5 linked regions of the Callithrix jacchus genome follow. The protein of the gene in region 1 interacts with the protein of each later gene in a pairwise test. Links are inferred from orthologs where the notes say so. Each region holds a gene or a part of one and is shown in the gene's direction. Other genes may lie near its edges.

Region 1 (4,475 bases):
CCGAGACAGCACCGCCCATGTAACCCGCCCCTTTAAGGTCAGTCCTACTTTGGGTGGGACAGTGTTCTCCGGACCACCGGTGTGTGTATACCCGCTTGCTGACAGACATGCATAGTTAGGTTTTCGAACCTCAAAGAAGTTTAAGGGCTTCTTTGTTTGAAGGGCTGGGGCAGGAACATAAATGAGGGGCGTTCCCTAAAGTTAGTAAAGACTCCAGGGCTTTTTGTTTACCAGCGCCTCCGGCCGGGGCTCTTCTCTTCTCTCTTTTGCCCTCCCCTTAAGTCCTAGGGCCCAGTTTTACCAGAGGAAGCGGGAACGCGCGGGAGAGGTGAGGGCAACCCTTCCCACACCCAGCCCCAGCCCTTACCTGGTAGCCAGCCACCTCGGCATTGTGCCGCTCCTCCAGTTCCAGGATCTGCCTCTCCAAGGACTCATTGGCCCCGCGCAGGCCCTCGATCTCGATGGTGCGCGCCTGCAGCTGGCGCCGGTACTCGTGGATCTCCTCGCGGCTGGCTCGGATGGCCTCGGTGCTGCGCGCCGCCTGCTCGTTCAGGTTGGCGAACTTGGACTTGTACCATTCCTCCGCGGACTGCAGGTTCTTAGCAGCCAGGGACTCATATTGGGCGCGGATCTCCCTCAGCGCCGAGCTCAGGTCTGGTTTAGCCACAGCCACGTCCACCTCGGCCGCGGCCTGTGACGACGCCTGCAGCGTGGCCAGCAGCTCGGCTACCTCCTCGTCGTGCACCTGGCGCACGAAGGCCAGCTCGTCTAGCAGCGACTCCACCTTCTTCTCCAGGTCCAGGCGGGCCAGCGTGGCGCCGTCCACGTCGCGCTGCTGCGCCTTCAGGGCGCGCTCGGCACCTTCGCGACCGCGGCTCTCCTCCTCGCAGCGCGCCCGCAGCCGCTGCACCTCCTCGGCCAGCCCGTCGCGCTCCAGCAGGGCCTGCGCGCGCGCCGAGCTCGCCTCCTCCAGCTGCGCGCGCAGGTCGCGCAGCTCGCGCTGGAAGAGCTCGCCGACGCGCGACGGCTCGGCGTGGCGCTGCCGCAGCGCAGCCAGCTCGGCCTCCAGCGCGCGGTTCTGCGTCTCCAGCTGATGAACCTTCTCGATGAACACTGCGAAGCGGTCGTTGAGTCCCTGCAGCTGCTCCTTCTCGTTGGTGCGGATGATCTTGTACTCGTTGGTGCGTGCCGCCGCCTGGCTCAGGTCCAGCCCGTCGGATGCCGGCGGCCGGCGATAGGCCAGGCCGAGGCCGAGCGACGAAGCCGAGGAGCAGGCGGTCGAGGAGGCCACATTGCTGCGGGACAGGGACTGCGAGCGGAAGCCGCCAGCGCCGCCGGCCCCGGCGAGGCGCGCGGACAGGCGGGAGCCGTCCCCGAACACCTTGCGGTAGGAGGAGGAGGAGGAGCACAGGTAGTGCTCCGAGCCGAAGCTCATGGTGCCGGGATCCGGGCCGGGCGTGGGCTTCGGCTGGAGATACAGAAGAAAGGAGAGGTGCGGCAGGCAGGGCGCGGCGGGGCGGTGCGCGCTGGCTTTTAAGGCGCTGGGACTGGGGCGGCGCGTTGGGGGCGGAGCTCCTGCTCTGAGCCTGGCCCCGAGAGGGAAGGGGGGCATCCAGGAGCGGGGGTGGGGAGGCGCAGCAACTACTGCAGCTGCGCGCTCGATGACCTGGGGCGCGGGGTCAGGGCCATCTGTGTCGGAGTCGCTCCTGTCCGCGGCGCCTCTCCCCAAGAATCCACTGCTTCTGAAGTGACTCCAGCGGAGGGGTGCCCTAAACGACTGAGGTTTCCCATCCGGAAACTACACAGCTCTGTCGCATCCCGTGACCCTATCTCCTCTTTCTTCTTTAACCCACTGGGAGGTTAGGGGTTTCTGAGAGGTGTCCCCTACACCCACCCTCTTATTGGGTTTTGAGGGCGAGGCCGTGTTTTCCCAGTTGCAGTGGGAACCCGCTGGGCGAGGCCTTGCTCCTCCCTCAGGTGGCTCAGGGTCCCCAAGGAGAAAAGTCAGAGAGCCTCTCTCCAGGTGGCCCTCTGCATCTCCTGGGAGGTTCTGGGCAGGTAGATGCTTGGAAAGCGCCTCTCCCCCAGAAGAGAGGGGAGATCGGTAAAGAAAGTGACCCCGAGCTGCGGAGAGTGGGGAGAAGCCCAGGTAGAGAGAGGAAAAGAGGCCACACTTGGAGAAGCAGGAGGCGCTGGGAATTGCTGGGGCTCATCGATAGGGCACTAAAGCATGGCGCAGGCCAGGACCACAAGCTGGTGGAAAGGGGGCTGCAGACTTTTGTGTTTAGAGCATTATGTTTTAAAACATTTCAAAAGGAGCGTTTTCAAACCAGGAGGTTTCACCTAAAAAGAAATTGAATTTCTGGCTTCTGAAAACGGGAAGAGGTGGGATCCCATAGTGGGCAGAGGTGAGTTGCCCTTGCCCTTTGTATAAGAAGTGTGCTTTCCTGTTTACTACAGTGAATTCTCCACTGAATTACCATTCTCCACTGAATTACCCCCACCTTCTTAATTCGTTTACTTTACCTCTCTGATTATGTGGGCATTTGAGATTTCAGTCTGTGTAAATCCAGCAGGGCAGGTCCTCATCTGGCTTTGGAGAGCCACTTACTCTGGAGATCTCTTTTTGGAGAAAAGAGATCCCTGAAAAAAGTTAAACTTCCAGAGTTGGGGAGAGTGCTGGTGACTGAGCTGGCCTGTTCTACCACATAGTAGGGTTGGTGGGAACGGGGGTGGAAATCAAAGAATGGGATCTGAAAGGATGAAGGCTGGGAGGGGTCAGTGTGAGGTCTGTAGTATGTACCGACTTTTAAGCTTCTGTTGTCACTCAGGATGTGGATATCGCTTTGGAGAGGGAGTAGGAAGACCTTTTTAGCTATATTCCAGAATTCCAGACTGAGGGCCTTTTTTTGATCTTGGAATCTTCAAGGACGTAGTCCTAGGATAAGTTTTACTTCATGGGGAAAGGGAAATATGCTTGGGACAGGCCATCAAAGGAAGGGTGAAAAGGGATCTTATGAGACTTTGGAGCATATCTCTTGGCTTTGTGCTTAATGTCATGGAAAATGGTCAGGCCCTGTCACAGCCTGTCCCTCTGGTTCCTCATCACAGACCAAAGCCTTGAGGTAGAGGAACTCAATTCTGAGGTCTTTGTGCTCAGAAAGACCTTGTGAGGTGAACAATTAAAGATTACTAATACTGCTGAATAGTGATTGTCTGCCAGTACTTGTGCTGGCACTTTTGCATAGGTTTACCTCCTCTGAATGTGCTTCAGGGTGGCACTTACCCCCATCTTATTAGATAAGACACTGAGGTGCTGATGCAGCACAAGGTCACCAGCAAGCAAAGACAAGCATACATTCTCTCTTTACTACATAATTCTGCAGTGAGACTTTTTTTTTTTTTTTGAGACAGAGCTGGGCACAGTGTCTCATGCCTGTAATCCCAACATTTGGGGAGGCCGAGATAGGCAGATTACTTGAGGTCAGGAGTTCGAGACCAGCCTGACCAACATGGTGAAACCCCATCTCTATTAAAAATACAAAAATTAGCCCGGAGTGGTGGCGCACACCTGTAATCCCAGCTCCTCGGGAGGCTGACGCAGGAGAATTGCTCAAACCTCGGAGGTAGAGGTTGTAGTGCGCCAAAATTGTTCCACTCTACTCCAGCCTGGGCAACAGAGTGAGACCCCATCTAAAAACAAACTAACAAACACACAACAACAACAACGGAGTTTTGCTCTTCTTGCCTAGGCTGGAGGGCAGTGGCATGATCTCAGCTCACCACAACCTCTGCCTCCTGGGTTCAAGCTATTCTTCTGCCTCAGCCTTCTGCATAGCTGGGATTACAGGTGCCCGCCACCATGCCTGGCTAATTTTTTGTATTTTTATTAGAGATGGGTTTTGTCATGTTGGCCAGGGTGGTCTCGAACTCCTGACCTCAGGTGATCCACCTGCCTTGGCTTCCCAAAGTGCAGGGATTACAGACATCAGCCACTGCACCCGGCCTGCAGTGAGACTCTTGAAGTCACGTTAATTTCTATGTAGCACGGCCAGGCGTGATGGCTCATGCCTGTAATCCCAACACTTTGGGAGTCTGAGGTGGAGAGATCACCTGAAGTCAGGAGTTTGAGACCAGCACGATCAATTTGGAGAAACCCCATCTCTACTAAATATATAAAATTAGCCAGGTGTGGTGGCGCATGCCTGTAATCCCAGCTACTCTGGAGGCTGAGACAGGAGAATCACTTGAACCCAGAAGGTGGAGGTTGTAGTGAGCTGAGATTGTGCCATGGCACTCTAGCCTGGGCAACAAGAGCAAGACTCCCATCTCAAAAAAAAAAAATTTTTTTTCCCATGGAGCCAGAATAGGACTAAGTGGGCTTCAGTAGAGTTTTGGCCAGCAAAAAATCATGTGCTGATTTGTGATTGATTTTTAATTGAAAGAATACTGGACTGAGAGTCAGAAGCAATGGG
Region 2 (4,219 bases), on another chromosome or scaffold:
AAAGAACCATAGGTGGTGACCTTGGAACACTTACCATGTGACAGGTGTTATGCTAAGCATGTTGTATGCATTCCTTCATTGAATGACAGCTACCTATATTATCCTCATTTTATAAGATGAGATAACAGAGATTCAGAAAGGTTAGACTCAGCTACCATGGGCCTGTCTGACTCTAAAGTTCATCTGTTAAAAACTGGGGCACTCTGGAAGTGAGATTCCTTGGTGATGAACAGAAATATTGCTTAGTGGCTGTGTTTTTGTATCTGGCAATTTTCTCATGTTTGAGTCTTATATTCACAATCGATATCTTTATATTACACAATAACATAGAATTAGAGTCATTTAATCCAGGGTTAATATCATTAAGTCATGACTATTTATGAAACATTTCTTACAATATCTGAGATGACTTGATATGGCAAGAAATGTGTGTGATTTTAGGTCTCATTTCGTAGTTGGCTGCAGAAACCTCTTTTAGAGGAGGGATGCTTTCTCTTTGTATCCTAATTTCTCCTTAGTATAGTTCCATACCTCTTTGAAGGGTGTGTAAGAATGCTGGAATGCAGTACCTTGTCATTCGATATGCATTAAGATGTGATCATATGGGGAATAGAAAAATGTGAACGATCCCATTCCTTTTCTACAGAAGGCAGGAAGCTCGTATTTGATAACTCTTACTATAAACTAAAAAACGTTTTGTATGTAGTATACCCGTAGCCATCACCCTGCAAGGTAGATACTGCTCCCCGCCAATTTACGGAGAATACTGAGGCTTTAAGGTTGTAGATAGACCAAGACCACACAAATAGAGAGTGGCAGGCTGTGGGTTGGGCTTTAAAATCCATGTTCGTCCGTGACTCTCTGTGTGTTCTAGTAAATCTGCTAGAATTTGAGTATTTGCCAATGATTAATGCTCTGCTCTATGCCAGGTAGTTCATGATATTTTTCAAGAATCAGAAAATCCTGACGAAGGCACACCGTTTCCCCTTCTGTAGGTGCCTTGGAAGTGACCGTTGTGGACGCAGAGCGCATCCTTTCTGATCCGACACCTTCTTCCCTGCCCTGGCAGGAGGGTCAGTGTCTTTTCCGCAGGGCTGGGAGCCCCCTTAGACCGGTCATTTCCCATCCCTTACGATGATCCCAAAGACAACTTTTCTCCCCACGGAGCTGCCATTCCACAGGCGGCCGCCAGAGGTCCCCGTTCGGAGACCCCGCGAGACAGTCGAGCCCCGGCCGGCTGCGCGGCGCGCTGGGTGCCTGTGGGGGCTGCTCCGGAGCGGCGGCGGCTGCAGCTGGAGCCAGGCGCTCGCCCGTCCGCCGGTTGGCTCGCTGGGACCGCGCGCACCGGCCGCAGAGTCCCTCGCGTGGACTGGCAAGCGACGCCCCTCCTGCCTCGAGCTCACCCTTTTCCTCTCGCGCTGGCTGCCGCTGACCCGGCGAAGGGAGCCTACCGGGCCCTGGGCTGGCGGTAAAACGCCACGGTGAGTAAGAACCCTCTCCGAGCGAGGGGAGGCGGCGCAGCCCGGTGGCTACTCGCTCGGGATCTCCGCCGGGCGGGCAGCGAGGTGCGGGGCGCACCTGGGCGCGGGTGCGGGAGGGTGCGGGAGGGTGCGGGAGGCGGCGGACCTGTCCCCTGCCGGCCGGCCGCGGGCTTCCGGGACTGGAGTCCGCTTCGGACCCCTGCCTGCGTCGGGGCTTCGGGCCGGCTTCTCGTGCGCACTTCCCGGCAGGAACCAGGGTCGCCCACTTTCCACCCCGGGATCCGTGGCCGTGATTTGAAAACATATAAATCAATAAGATCGTCCTCCTTTCAGGGTGCGTCTGTCTCCGAGCCCATCCCTAGCCGCGGACGCCTGCCGGGTGCGTGTTGGGCTGTGGGGTGGCGGGAAGACAAACTTTACACAAGTGCGCCCGGGCTGGGGACCACGCTTGGGCGTCCTGATCCTGAGGGAGGAGTCTCAGCTCGAGGCAGCGTCGGAACTCCGCGAGGTCTGCCGGGTCGCCCCCGGGGCTGTTGATGCCTCATGGAGGTGGGGAGCGTAGAAAGGCCGTACAAATCGCGCTTAACTTTGGGGCCAACAACTGTCAAACATCTGGAATCCCAGCCCCTCCCTTTCCTTGAACTGGGGAAGAAGGCGAAAATCCTTAAACTTTTCTTTGATTGCCCCTTCCCACCTTCAGACCACTGCAGGGAGGGTAAAGCGCCGACCCCTGGCGCCTGGCAAGTACCAGAGACCCTAAATCTCTAGGGAGCCCCCTTGCCTTCTTTCCCGACCCTCTCTGCTGACCCTCCCGGCAGGGACCTTGCGGCACTGTCGACTGGGATCGTGGCAAATGGCCTTTTGTTTCTCCGTGTTTCCCCTATTGTTTGCCTTTCCAACATCTGGTGGGGCCTGGGGAGAGAAGGCAGCCCCTCTGGTCCCCCTCGTCGGCCCCCACGCCAGCTCCGGCAGGGGATCCCAGCTGGGAAAGCGGAGGAGCCGGACCCCGCGAGGCCGCCCCACCCGGTCCTTGCGGTTAGAGGGCGGAGGGAAAGTTGTTTCTTCCCCGCCTCCGCGGCTGCCTGTGGCCCGGGGCGCATTTCTCAGATCTCAGCCCAGGCGCGCCGCAAAGGGCGCAAATCCTAGAAGGGTGCTGCTTTCGACACAGTGGTAGCGGGTTCCGCCTCAATCCAGAGTGTCCTGTGGTTGGTTCCAGAGGATTTCAATCTCTAGCTAAAGGCGTTGGGGTTGGGCTGCTCCCAGGGCAGTGGGAGGGGATCAGGGCACCTCTGGTAGGCGGAAAGCCGAGATTCTGGGGTCCATGAGTTTCCAACGGCGGGAGGGCAGGCTAGTCGCCAAAAAGAGAACCTAGATGCAAATAATGAGGAAGCCTCATGACATTGCCGGGAAATAGTGGTGTGGTGGCTCACTCCGGAATGAACGTGGATTTCTGGCTTTGAGTACCACTCGAAGTTTAAATCCCAAGTCCCCTTCCTGCATTGTAGAAAAAGAGGACTGAGGACACAACGCAGGTACGGCCAGAGCACTGTTCCCGCTTCCACGTCCCAGTGAACAAGTGGCTTAGGATGGCCCCGAGTTCCCCTGAGCGTGCGCCTGTTGGGTTGCAGGCTGCCCTGTTTCCCTGCGCAAGTTAGATGCTTACACTTTGTGTTCATTCTTAGTGAGTGGATTATTGATTAAAGAACTAGGGCAAAAGCAGTGTAACCATTCGAGAAGGCAGGGTCGCCAGATGGTGCCCAGCGACTTGTGTTGCCTCTGAGGGGAGGCCGACTGAGACTGTGCACCTGTTGGAACCTATACCTCCCCATAGCCTTGCAGTTGACCTGCTGTTGCCGGCTTTTCCCGTGGGATCCCCAGCCAGCCCCTCTTCCAAGGAAGCTCAATTACACTTTCGATTCCTCTTCAACCCAGGGGAAGAGGCTTATGTGGAACACTTATGATCTATGTACCCACTCAGACGTTGTCAGTGGATACCAGGTGCTTGGTCTGCAGTTCTGAGAGTTTTCCCTTTGCCAACTTAACAGAACTTTTGCGTTTCCATTTAACAAAAAAGAAGCGAGACAGCTAAGCCGGGAATGTGACACACAGAGCACTTTCTCGAGTGATTTCTGGGTACTATGTCTCTTTACCTTACCAACGGTGGAACCAGCAACAGAAAACAACATTTTTGAAGTACTGAAAGGTACTTTACAAGAATTTCATTATGAAAATTATCCCCAAGGAGTCCTTTGAAATTTAGCAACAGCAGCAACCCAGAAGCAACAAAAATGACCAAAGTTACTCAAGAAGTACCCAAAGGCATCACTGGTCTAGCCCAGTAAGAAAAACAGGGCACTACTGTCTACCCCACTGGTCTATCCCACTAAGAAAAATAGTGGAAGCTAAGTTTGTACAGTTTCTGTTAGAATTAAAAACTTCCCCCAAAAAAAACCATTCTGGGAAAAATAAAAAATATTGATAGGTGAAAATGAATATAAAAGGGGGAGATATTATAAACAAGGTTCCAGTGAACAATCTTATCTACTTGGAATCAATTTCTGAAGACATGATACCTAGCTCACAGGGGTTGATGCCTTCTCTAGGATATTTGAGATTGCCGTATTTCCCTGAAAAGTCCCAGTTTACTTTCTCCCCAGTTATGCACAAAGGCTCCTGTGTCCTATACCTTACCCCCCACTCACATTTTATATTATAATGCTTTTTCATTTCTGCCATAC
Region 3 (3,764 bases), on another chromosome or scaffold:
CACTTGTTGTTTTTGTTGCCATTACTTTTGAGGACTTAGTCGTAAATTCTTTTTCAAGGCCAGTGTCCAGAATGGTGTTTCCTAGGTTTTCTTCTAAGATTCTTATAGTTTGAGGTCTTACTTATAAGTCTTTAATCCATCTTGAAGTTTTGTATATGGTTAAAGTTAGGGAACCAGTTTCATTCTTCTGCTTATGGCTAGACAGCTATCCCAGTACCATTTATTTAATAGAGAATCCTTTCCCCATTGATTATTTTTGTTGACTTTGTCAAAGTTCAGATGGCTGTAGATGTGTGGCTTTATTTCTGGGTTCTCTATTGTGTTCCAGTGATCCATGTGTCTGTTTTTGTACCAGAACCATACTGTTTTGGTTACTGTAGCCTGTTGTACTTTTCAAATATTTTGGTAGTCTTATATACATAAAGCAATGTTCATGTAACCTTTCTATTTTAGCTAAATAGTTTGATATATATTTTGTTCCTTGACCTATAAGAAATATATGTTACACTGAATCTATATATTCTAAATGGTTGAGAAGTAATCAAATTTAAGTGAATATTTTATATACTCGTATTACTGTTACTGATAACAGAGTATTTACATTTCTAATAAGAAAGAATGGTATGTTAGCCAAACCAAATGGCTACAGTAGGCATGTTATTTGGTATCCTGCACTGAGTAGTCGGTTTTAAAAAAAAATTTATATAAGAAAATTATTATGCTTTGGATTATTTCAAATCAAGCATTATAAAATATTCCCAAGCCTTGTTAGAATAGCTATATACAATTTTCTAGAATATTGGTGGAAATTATCTTTTAGTGTAAACTTTGTATATGTTTATAGCATTGAATTACAACTAATTTAATGATTTATATGTGATTTGCACGCAGTAAATTTTCTTAAAGTAGTAACTTAACTAGTTGCCTGTTAATGAGAACGATGTAACAAAAGACCAGGTGAAGTAATTAGAAAGAGTTTCATAAGACAGTGTCTATGATCAGGCACATCATTCCCTGTGTTATTACATGCAGTTTTCATAGGCTTATTCTCTTGTGTGTTTTGAGAATTCTGTATTAATAGGGCATTAAATTATAAGTGTCTTGAAGGAAGGATCTTGTTTTATGGCACAGATGCTGATATGTTGTAGGTAATCAGTAAATGCTTGTTGAATGAATAAACATGGTTTGCTCCCTTGATTTGGGTTTTCTTTAATCTGTTGGTTGGTCTTGGGGGTTTTGTTTGTTTGTTTGGCAGCAAAGGTCTGGCAGAAAATGTATGAGGAGGTATTATAGACCTCTTAGGGTAGAAGACATGAATACTTCTTTGTACATGCTATTTCTTAGAAATATTCTTCAAAATGAATGGGAGCAATTTAAAAAGGAAGTACTGAGGAGAGCTGACTTACATAACATGGTGCTGGGTGGAAGGAAGTATGTAAAAAATAGTCATAAGTTAGTGAGCACAAATGAGCCTGTCACACTGTGTTCCTTTCTCCAGGAGGGTCTCTTCTCTGTACTTTGGGTGAGAGAAAAACATGGGCTTACTCTAAAAAGTACTTTGTCCCTGCTTAACACAGTTAGAAAGACGATGTCACTTATTTCATAGCTAAACTTGTCATTGCACCCAGTACACATATAGAAGTGGAAAATAGAATGAGGTATTGTTTTTTGTTATCTTGGGGGACTGTGACACAGTGCTGGATTTTTAATCAAGAACTTATGTGTATGCTCTAATAATTTAATATAGGAATAACCCAGAGTAGTTTTTTATACTAATAAAAGGATATTTCTTGAAGCCTGTTGGTTTTTTAAAGCCTGTTGTTATTTTTTTGTTTTTGTTTTTTGATACAGACTCTCACTCTTTTGCCCAGGCTGGAGTGCAGTGGCACAATCTCGGCTCACTGCAACCTCCTCCTCCCTGGTTCAAGCAATTATCTTGCCTCAGCCTCTGGAGTATCTGGGACTACAGGCACCCGCCACCACACCTGGCTAATTTTTAAAAATTTTTTTATTTTTAGAAGAGACCAGGTTTCACCATATTGGCCTGGCTGGTGTCTAACTCCTGACCTTGTGATCTGCCCACCCCAGCCTCCCAAAGTGCTGAGATTTTTTAAATCACCAAACCAACTCAGTGTTTATTGATTGAGAGAGTTCTTTGTCAGTCTTTGAATTCTAATAGTTTTACACAAAAAGAAATAAATTCTTACTATAAGTTCCAAGCCATCCATCCCTCTCATCAATTTGCATATTGTGAAATTGTACTTGACAGCAGTGGTAAACACATGAAAATAAAAAGGAAAATCACTGTACCTGTTAGAGCACTGGGAAAAGCATAGGTCAACAATATGCATGTTAAGTCAATGAAATAGTCTTAATTCAACAGAACAGTGATTTTTCTGCTAATAGTAGTTTGACATTACTAGTGATTTGAAGTGAATTGAGCCACTGGAAGACACTCAATTTATGAAAAGTGTTTCCTGCCCATGTGAAATTAACTATGTTCAATGGTTCTGAGAGTATAATATTCTTTTCTATGTTGAAAAAAATCCAATTTAAATATATTCTTTTATTAAGACAGATACCTAGGTTGACAGAAGAAAGAAGCAAACTAATCTTCTATCTGTTTTGTAGTGAGCTGATCCAGTTTATTACAACTGGTCCTATTATTGCCATGGAAATTTTAAGAGATGATGCTATATGTGAATGGAAAAGACTACTGGGACCTGCAAACTCTGGGGTGGCATGCACAGATGCTTCTGGAAGCATTAGAGCCGTCTTTGGAACAGATGGCATAAGAAATGCAGCACATGGCCCTGATTCTTTTGCTTCTGCTGCCAGAGTAAGGTGTTTTAAAAATATTTTAATTGTCTTCTAGTTCTGTTACATATTTTATCAAAGTAAGGCATTTCTGTCACTGGTGACTTAGGCTATAGTGCCAGGACTGCTACAGTAGCCTTCTTTATGCACCTGATCTAGTAGTAGAGAAAACCTTTGACATTTTGCCTAGTATTAAACAGTGTTTATATCTCCTTTGTCAACTGGTGATCATAATCAATGTAACTTTTCTCCAATTAAAACACTTCTCATCCTGTCTCTTGTTCCAAAGACTTAAATTACTGAGACTCCTAAATGTTTGAATTATCAAATTCATGTAAGAATACCAGTTTATGGCTAGTAGATGTTAAAAAGAAGACACATTTTGAGATACTACTTTTTGATTCAGACCTAATACTGTACTTTCAAGCTTGACATCCTATTATTTTCCTATACATGGCTTGTATTTATGAAAGTTTCTTTACAACTGCTCCTTATTTTTAAATCCATATAAATAAAGCATCATATTGGATTTATGCTGAGGTTGAATTAATGAAGTATAAGTTTATTTTTAGCATTGTGAGAAGTGTCTCACTTAAGATAGTTTTTAATTTTTTGCAGTGAAACAATATTAGACAATTTTATAATAGTTGACTTATTTCTTTTTCTTACAATTTCTTCCGCAAGTCTCTTCAGCTCTACTTTCAAAATAAACCCTGAATCTGACCATTGTGATCTAAATCACTATTATATTTTGCCAGGACTGCTACAGTAGCCTCCAAATTCTTTTTTCCTCTTTCCCTTCACTCAATTTATGAAAATTTTACCTTGCCCAAGTAAAATCAACTATGCCTAGTGATATTTTAAAGCCAAATCAGATTAACATTCACCTGCTGAAAACCCTTCAGTGAATTTCCGTCTCTTCTAGAATAAAATCTGAAGTCTTTATT
Region 4 (4,437 bases), on another chromosome or scaffold:
TTCACCAGGCGTGGTGGCTCATGCCTGCAACCACAGTGCTTTGGGAGGCCAAGACGGGAGGATCACTGAGGCCAGGAGTTCGAGACCAGCCTGGGTAATATAGCAAGACCCCTCTATCTCTACAAAGAATTAAAAATTAAAAAACTTCGCCAGACCTGGTGTCGCACACCTGCAGTCCCAGATACTCAGCAGTCTGAGGCAGAAAGATAGCTTGAACCCAAGAGCTCAAGACTGCAGCTCCAATCTGGGTAACAGAATGAAACCCTGTCTCTAGGGGGTAACAAAAGGCACATATTATGAGGACGGGCCTTGTGTGTGGTAGCAAGAAGAGCTAGGCCCGAGAGGGACCACCCCTGAGGGTTGGTGGGCTGCCCAGGGGTGGTGCCCAGCACTGGACAATCCACACAGCTCCTCTCTGATTGTCATGCCTTCCCAACACACCTGTAAAACAAGAGTTGTTATGACCCTACTCTACAAATCAGGAAACTGAGGCCCACAGCTCACCCAGGGGCACAGAGCAAGACAGCCAGCAGCGACCAGCCATCTGGCTCCAGGTCTCGAGCTTTGTCCACACCACCAAGCCTGTCTTCCTAGCAGGGAGGTGCAAAAAACCAGCCAAGGAAGAGGAAAGGGGTGGCCTCTGTGGGGTGAGGAGCCAGACGGCCTGCTTCGAAGATCCCTTCCAGCTGGCCTTGACTTCCACTGCTGAAATGCGAGTGAAGGAGGAAAGGTCGGGATGGGAGAGGAGCCGGCGCTCGCCACAACAACCCCCACCCTGCTCTCCATGCGCCAGGTCCTGCACGCTGGGTGGGAGGGTGACGACAAGGATGGAGGAGCAGGGCCCCAGCCCCGCCCTCCCAGGACGCACCGTCTGCAGCGGCGAGGGCCTTGAGCTGCGTGGGAAATGAGGTGGGCAGAGGGCCACTGATGAGGGTGGGCCGGCTGACTGCAGCCCTCTCTCAGCCCCCGACACCTCCCGCCACCCCCGGCCCTGCCCACTCCCTCTTCCAGCGCCGGTCACTCTTCTTGCCCAAGCCAAGCCTTTAGCACTTAGCCTCGAACCGTCAGCTGATTCCTCATCTAGGACTACGCCCATCTCTCCAGCTACAACAGAATATCCTGAAAGGCAGGGGTTTACGTCCCCCACCCCAGGGGCCACATGACATAACTCTTTAGTAGAGTGAGAACAAAGTTATTTGGGATGTGATCAACTCCGGCAATGCCGTAGTGTGTTTACGGCAACAGCGGGACGGTAGGTCCAAGGGGCGGCCCCGGATCTCCGTGACGTCACCTGGCTTGTACGTCACTGTCGCTTGCGCCGGCGGCGAAAAGCACCCTGCATGAGAGATAACTTGACCATCGGAGCCCCTGCGGACCAGTGCGCGCTCAGGCAGTCGGTGAAGGGGGCAGCTGGGAGACGTCCCGAGCGTGCGGGACCGACAGGCGGCAGAAGCCCGGTGGGAGTCCGTGGGGTTCCGGCCGGGAACCCACCCTGCTCCCAAGCGGCCCCGCCCCCTCGGTGACTGTCGCGGGCCGGCCAATCCGGGCAGGCCGCGGCGCCGCGCAGCCTATCAGCGACCAGGGCTTGCGTGCGCTTCCGCGTTCGCGTGCGCGCCCAGGCCCGCCGCCGCCGGATCCCGCACTTGTCCGCGGCTCGGTCCGGCGGGTCAGCCAGGACCCGGGCCGTCGCTTCCCGGGGGACCCGATGGCTTCCGAGGGTATGGCGGGAGTGCTGGCGGCCGTGCTGGCCGGCCAGGGGCTGCGCGTGCAGAGCTGCGACTCGGCGCCGGCCGGGGAGCCACCGGCACCGGTGCGGCTGCGGAAGAACGTGTGCTACGTGGTGCTGGCGGTGTTCCTCAGCGAGCAGGTGAGCGGCCGCCAGCCGGGCCCGCAGGGCCTCGGGAGCGCGCAGCCAGCCCAGGTGGGAACGGAAGACCCAACGGCCACAGCCAGCGCTGCCGCGTGCATGGCGCTGCCCAGTTTTGCAAAGCACTCCCATTCCCACTCGCATCTGTGTCCTGCAGTCGTCCCAATATGGAGAAGAGGAAACTCAGGCCGGGGGCCTGTTCGTCTCACCCCACTAGGCCTCATTCTTTCCCTTCCCAGAGTCTAGCGGAGTGCCCAGGACCCCTCAGATAGCAGTCGCTCAACCCTGGCTTACCTCAGGCCTTTGGTGTGGATCCCCGTACTGGGCAACTAGAAGGGGCCAGGGCCATAGGGCAGGGTTGTACAAGGTGGAGGTCGGGGGTCGTGTTTCAAAGCCAGACCCCAGGGTGAGGATCCATCACAAACAGTTCATAGGCCACGCCGCTGGAGACAAGAGATACCCAATGACATGTACAGACGTAAGTCAATGCAAGACTGACACATGGTGGCCCTCACTCTGGGGCCTCATCTCCAGCCCCTGAAGCAGCTTCCAGGAATCTCAGCCCTTTCTGAAGTGCAAGTTTTCTTAACTCCAGAGAGGGACTAATTGCAGGGAGAAGGTTGCAGCCCCCAGCAACTTGAGGGCAGATCTCCCGCAGCGCTAGCTGGTTTAAGGGCGATCTTGGGCGACTGTGTTTGAGATGCCCCCTGGTCCCTGGGCTGGGGAAGGCTATGGCAGGAAGTGAAGATGCTCTCTCCCCTCAGGATGAGGTGCTACTGGTCCAGGAGGCCAAGAGAGAGTGTCGGGGGTCGTGGTACCTGCCCGCGGGGAGAATGGAGCCTGGGGAGTCCATCGTGGAGGCGCTGCAGCGGGAGGTGAAGGAGGAGGCGGGGCTGCACTGTGAGCCTGAGACACTGCTGTCCGTGGAGGAGCGGGGCCCCTCCTGGGTCCGCTTCGTGTTCCTCGCTCGCCCCACAGGTATGGCCTACCTGGAGGCAGTATGAACAGGGCCAGTTGACATCTTTTCCCCAGCTGCTTGGTGAGGTGAGCCCCTCCACAGCCAGTCCTGTTATGGCACTCTGGCATGGGCAGATTCCAGCCTGCAGGCTGGGGGCCTCTCTCCTGGGTCAGGGATGTCTGTTGAAGCTGCCAACACTGCACTTCTCTCCACACAGACCCTCTGCCCCATCCCCCACATCTCCCCAGGTGGAATTCTCAAGACTTCCAAGGAGGCTGATGCAGAGTCCCTGCAGGCTGCCTGGTACCCACGGACCTCCCTGCCCACTCCACTGCGAGCCCATGACATCCTGCACCTGGTTGAGCTCGCTGCCCAGTATCGCCAGCAAGCCAGGCACCCTCTCATTCTGCCCCAAGAGCTGCCCTGTGATCTGGTCTGCCAGCGGCTTGTGGCCACCTTTACCAGTGCGCAGACAGTGTGGGTGTTGGTTGGCACAGTGGGGATGCCTCACTTGCCTGTCACTGCCTGTGGCCTCGCCCCTTCGGAGCAGAGGGGTGGCATGAAGATGGCTGTCCTGCGGCTGCTGCAGGAGTGTCTGACCCTGCACCACTTGGTGGTGGAGATCAAGGGGCTGCTTGGGCTGCAGCACCTGGGCCGAGATCACACTGATGGCATCTGTCTGAATGTGCTGGTGACTGTGGCTTTTCGGAGCCCAGGGATCCAGGATGAACCCCCGAAGGTTCGGGGTGAGAACTTCATTTGGTGGAAGGTGACGGAGGAAGGCCTGCAAAGCCAGCTCCTTCAGCGGCTTCAGGGATCCTCTGTTGTCCCAGTGAACAGATAGGGCGGGGGAGGAGGTGACGAGGAGCTGGGCGGCTGTGCTCCCTCCAGTGTGGCCTTGTCTCCCTCTGAGGGAGGCAGGAGGCTGGCGACCAGGGATCTTGTTGCATTGGGAGCAGGGGTGCTTTCCTGGTCCCCAGAAGAGATGCTTTGAGGAGCTTTCCTCTAGATCGCACAGGGACAGTGCCTTTAACCAAGCAAGGAATCCAAAGCTCAGGACCTGGCCACTCTTCGGGCACACTGGCACTTCTCCCCGGGGGTTGGGAGCTTTCTGCACTCCCAGTGGTGTCTTGTCATCACAGTTTGTGTTTTCCTTGGGAAAGGCCTGCATCCTGATCCCTCCAGGCCCTTAGAGCTGGGAGGGGCCCTGGGGAAGGTCTCCTGAGGGAGGAGCCCTTGCTCAGTAAAGAGGTGTTGCTTACCTTGCCTCCCTGCCTAGATGTCTCTGTGGGGACAAAGTGATGTGGACTGCGTCCAAGAGCTGCTCCTCCCCTTGTGCCACCGACAGCCACCTATGTCTTTCCCAGTGCACTGACAATGCGGGCCAGCCTGCTGTCCAGGCTGGGCTGCTGGCCTGGGATGTGACTCTTGAGGGGACCCATCCCTCATGAAACACAGCTTGAGTCCTCCAAGGGTTGGGTAGTGGGTGACCCTGGGGGAGGTTCACGTGGGACAGGAGAGAGCGCTGCCTCAGCTTTCTCCTTGAGCCTCCCTGGTGTGGACCCCTCCCACGGCTCTCCTGCCTCTGCCTTTTCACAACTTCAGCCCACGC
Region 5 (2,534 bases), on another chromosome or scaffold:
CTGAAGGATCCAGACAGTAATCCCTACAGCCTATTGGACACATCTGAACCAGAGCCCCCGGTTGATTCAGAGCCTGGGGAACCCCCCCCAGCAAGTGCCAGGCGCCGTCGCTCCCGCCGCCGCCGCACTGATGAAGACAGGACCATCATAGATGGAGGCCTGGAATCAGATGGGCCCAACATGACAGAGAATGGCCTGGGTGAGGGTGTGCCTGGGATCTGGAAAATTAGAGATGGGTAAGAATTGAGGGTGGGAGGTTGGATGTGTGACTCTGGTTTTTCCCTACCCTACAGAAGACGAATCAAGACCCCAACGTCGTAATCGCAGCCGCCGCCGCCGTAACCGTGGTAATCGGACTGATGGTTCTATCAGTGGAGACCGCCAACCAGGTCAGCCAACTTTGGACACCAGAATTCTTCCTCAGAGCTGAGAGAATGGGATACTTCCTACCCTGTGAAAATCAGGGGTTCGGGTTCAGTGGGTATCTTGGGCTGGCTACCAGAATTCCATCTTTTTTTTTTCTTTTGTAATTTTCATGGCAAACTATCTCAAAGTCTTAATGTCCTGCCTTCCCTAGTGACTGTGGCTGACTATATCTCACGAGCAGAGTCTCAGAGCCGCCAGCGGCCACCCCTGGAACGCACTAAACCCTCAGAGGACTCTCTTTCAGGACAGAAGGTAGGCAGGCAAGATGTGGTTTACTCTATCATTTTTTTTTATTATTATGGGGCAGGGGGTGCACAAAATTTCACAAAGAAATTTACCGAGGCTGGGGGTGGTGGCTCACGCCTGTAATCACAGCACTTTGGGAGGCTGAGGCGGGTGGATCACCTGAGGGTGTGAGTTCGAGATCAGCCTGACCAACATGGAGAAACCCTGTCTCTACTAAAAAATACTAAATTAGCTGGGTGTGGTGGTGCATGGCTATAATCCCAGCTACTTGGGAGGATGAGGCAGGAAAATGGCTTGAACCAGGGAGGCAGTGGGTGCTGTGAGCTGAGATTGCGCCATTGCACTCCAGCCTGGACAACAAGAGCGAAACTCTGTCTCAAAAGAAAAAAGAAATCTGTTACTGAATTGCAGAGGCAGTTGTGTCTGATGGAGTTTAGAATAGTGTCAACTTCGAATGGGATAGAGAGGATTATGTAGTTCACATTTTCTGGATCCCAAGTAAGAGAGACTGGATCATGGGATCAAGGAACCAACCTCTGGATCACCAGATGCCAGGAGTGCTTGGATGGTAGGAAATGTCCCTCACCTGAGTTTCTGCTCACCGTGTGCTTGATTTTGTTTTCTTTCCCACTTGCTTCTCAGGGTGACTCTGTCAGCAAGCTTCCTAAGGGCCCCTCGGAGAATGGGGAGCTCTCTGCCCCCTTGGAGTTGGGTAGTATGGTGAATGGGGTTTCATAAAACCTCCAGCCTGCATCCCTCCCTTCTCCATCTCGCTTGCTGCCCAACACCATGGCCCTCACAGGCCCAACTGACCTGCGCTGGAGCTGCTCTTATCTAGGGGGGAGGGGGGTGGCACAGCAGCTTGGGTACCCCCCAACCTCCAGGAGCTAGTGGAGGGGTGTGTAACAGGGTCATACCCCCTCCCTCTTGTCCACCCTACCCCCAGGGTAAGGGGAGCCTCTCTCCCCCATCAGACTGGATGTGCCTTTATCCTCTAATGCCCCAATCTCTCTCTGAACACCCCCATTCTCCACCTGTTGGTGGGGGGGTGCTCCTTGACCCACCCAGATTTGACCGTTCAGGGGGCCTCCCCTGCTATCCCTCCTCCCATCCTGTACCCCCCATTTCTGGGGCCTCATCACTGTGGAAGACGGGGATAGTAAGAGATAAGTGGGTGGGAGGCACGGGGAAGGTTTTGGAGTAGAACCAGGGGTGTATATGAAGGGGGGTGACAAGGTCCCCAGGGGGAGGGGACCGACCTTGTCTGGTGGATGAGAAGGCGTATTTATTTTTCACTGTACAGTATTTAAAAAGAGAATAAAAAAATCCAAATGGCTCTGTGGCTCCTGTGCCGCCTTTGTCCCCAGTTTGGTCCATCTGTTTCTTTAGGACTGACCTGCCCTAGCCCCTGGCTCATTTTCTTTTCCTCCATACCTGATTTCTCATTGTCTCTTGTCCCAAAGATGGTCTGTCTTCTGGGAATTTCTGACATTCTTAAACTCCCCAGGTCCAGGTACTCGCTCCTGGTCCAGAGGGGAGGGGGTCTTGTGCCTTATTGCTTCTCTCCTCCCCCAAGTTTGCTGGTAGAGGGAGTTGGGCCACTCCTATACCCTGAGTCATGGCACAGGCTAGGCAGGGCTGCTCAGAGCTGGAGCTGTTCCTGCTAGAAGCTGGGAGCCAAGGCAGGCTGCTTAATCCGATTACCTGAAGCCTGGGGCTTGGGCTGGGCCTTGGCAAGAGGGGAGCAGGGTTCCCTCACAGCAGCCTCTGAAAGCCTGGTGTCCAGCCTTCTTTCCTTGCTGGTGTTCTGATCTGGCTCTAAGCTTTTTCTCCAGCATGCACACCACAGACCTCTCAACTCG

The links.
Region 2: the proteins of NT5C2 (region 1) and MOB3B interact in binary tests that used the Homo sapiens proteins (3 or more experiments, as listed by UniProt). The two-hybrid records come from large-scale screens. The link is inferred for Callithrix jacchus from reciprocal best matches to the Homo sapiens genes NT5C2 and MOB3B.
Region 3: the proteins of NT5C2 (region 1) and NME7 interact in binary tests that used the Homo sapiens proteins (3 or more experiments, as listed by UniProt). The two-hybrid records come from large-scale screens. The link is inferred for Callithrix jacchus from reciprocal best matches to the Homo sapiens genes NT5C2 and NME7.
Region 4: the proteins of NT5C2 (region 1) and NUDT18 interact in binary tests that used the Homo sapiens proteins (3 or more experiments, as listed by UniProt). The two-hybrid records come from large-scale screens. The link is inferred for Callithrix jacchus from reciprocal best matches to the Homo sapiens genes NT5C2 and NUDT18.
Region 5: the proteins of NT5C2 (region 1) and FXR2 interact in binary tests that used the Homo sapiens proteins (3 or more experiments, as listed by UniProt). The two-hybrid records come from large-scale screens. The link is inferred for Callithrix jacchus from reciprocal best matches to the Homo sapiens genes NT5C2 and FXR2.

The regions. Positions count from the first base shown.
Region 1 is NC_133513.1:96,265,220-96,269,694, reverse strand, and holds the start of NT5C2 (cytosolic purine 5'-nucleotidase), read left to right. Parts: upstream 1-1,435; 5' UTR 1,436-1,492; exon of another isoform or gene 1,493-1,508; intron 1,509-4,475. Other genes in the region: INA (alpha-internexin), read right to left, coding at 368-1,435. UniProt on the Homo sapiens protein: Broad specificity cytosolic 5'-nucleotidase that catalyzes the dephosphorylation of 6-hydroxypurine nucleoside 5'-monophosphates.
Region 2 is NC_133502.1:134,713,140-134,717,358, reverse strand, and holds the start of MOB3B (MOB kinase activator 3B), read left to right. Parts: upstream 1-1,220; 5' UTR 1,221-1,481; intron 1,482-4,219. UniProt on the Homo sapiens protein: Modulates LATS1 expression in the Hippo signaling pathway which plays a pivotal role in organ size control and tumor suppression by restricting proliferation and promoting apoptosis.
Region 3 is NC_133519.1:33,168,475-33,172,238, forward strand, and holds part of NME7 (nucleoside diphosphate kinase homolog 7), read left to right. Parts: intron 1-2,631; coding exon 2,632-2,839; intron 2,840-3,764. UniProt on the Homo sapiens protein: Possesses an intrinsic kinase activity. Displays 3'-5' exonuclease activity with a preference for single-stranded DNA. Does not seem to have nucleoside diphosphate kinase activity.
Region 4 is NC_133514.1:19,378,268-19,382,704, forward strand, and holds NUDT18 (8-oxo-dGDP phosphatase NUDT18), read left to right. Parts: upstream 1-1,599; 5' UTR 1,600-1,705; coding exon 1,706-1,867; intron 1,868-2,631; coding exon 2,632-2,845; intron 2,846-3,073; coding exon 3,074-3,669; 3' UTR 3,670-4,094; downstream 4,095-4,437. UniProt on the Homo sapiens protein: Mediates the hydrolysis of oxidized nucleoside diphosphate derivatives. Hydrolyzes 8-oxo-7,8-dihydroguanine (8-oxo-Gua)-containing deoxyribo- and ribonucleoside diphosphates to the monophosphates. Hydrolyzes 8-oxo-dGDP and 8-oxo-GDP with the same efficiencies.
Region 5 is NC_133506.1:74,085,381-74,087,914, reverse strand, and holds the end of FXR2 (RNA-binding protein FXR2), read left to right. Parts: coding exon 1-199; intron 200-293; coding exon 294-389; intron 390-577; coding exon 578-678; intron 679-1,314; coding exon 1,315-1,410; 3' UTR 1,411-2,008; downstream 2,009-2,534. UniProt on the Homo sapiens protein: mRNA-binding protein that acts as a regulator of mRNAs translation and/or stability, and which is required for adult hippocampal neurogenesis. Specifically binds to AU-rich elements (AREs) in the 3'-UTR of target mRNAs.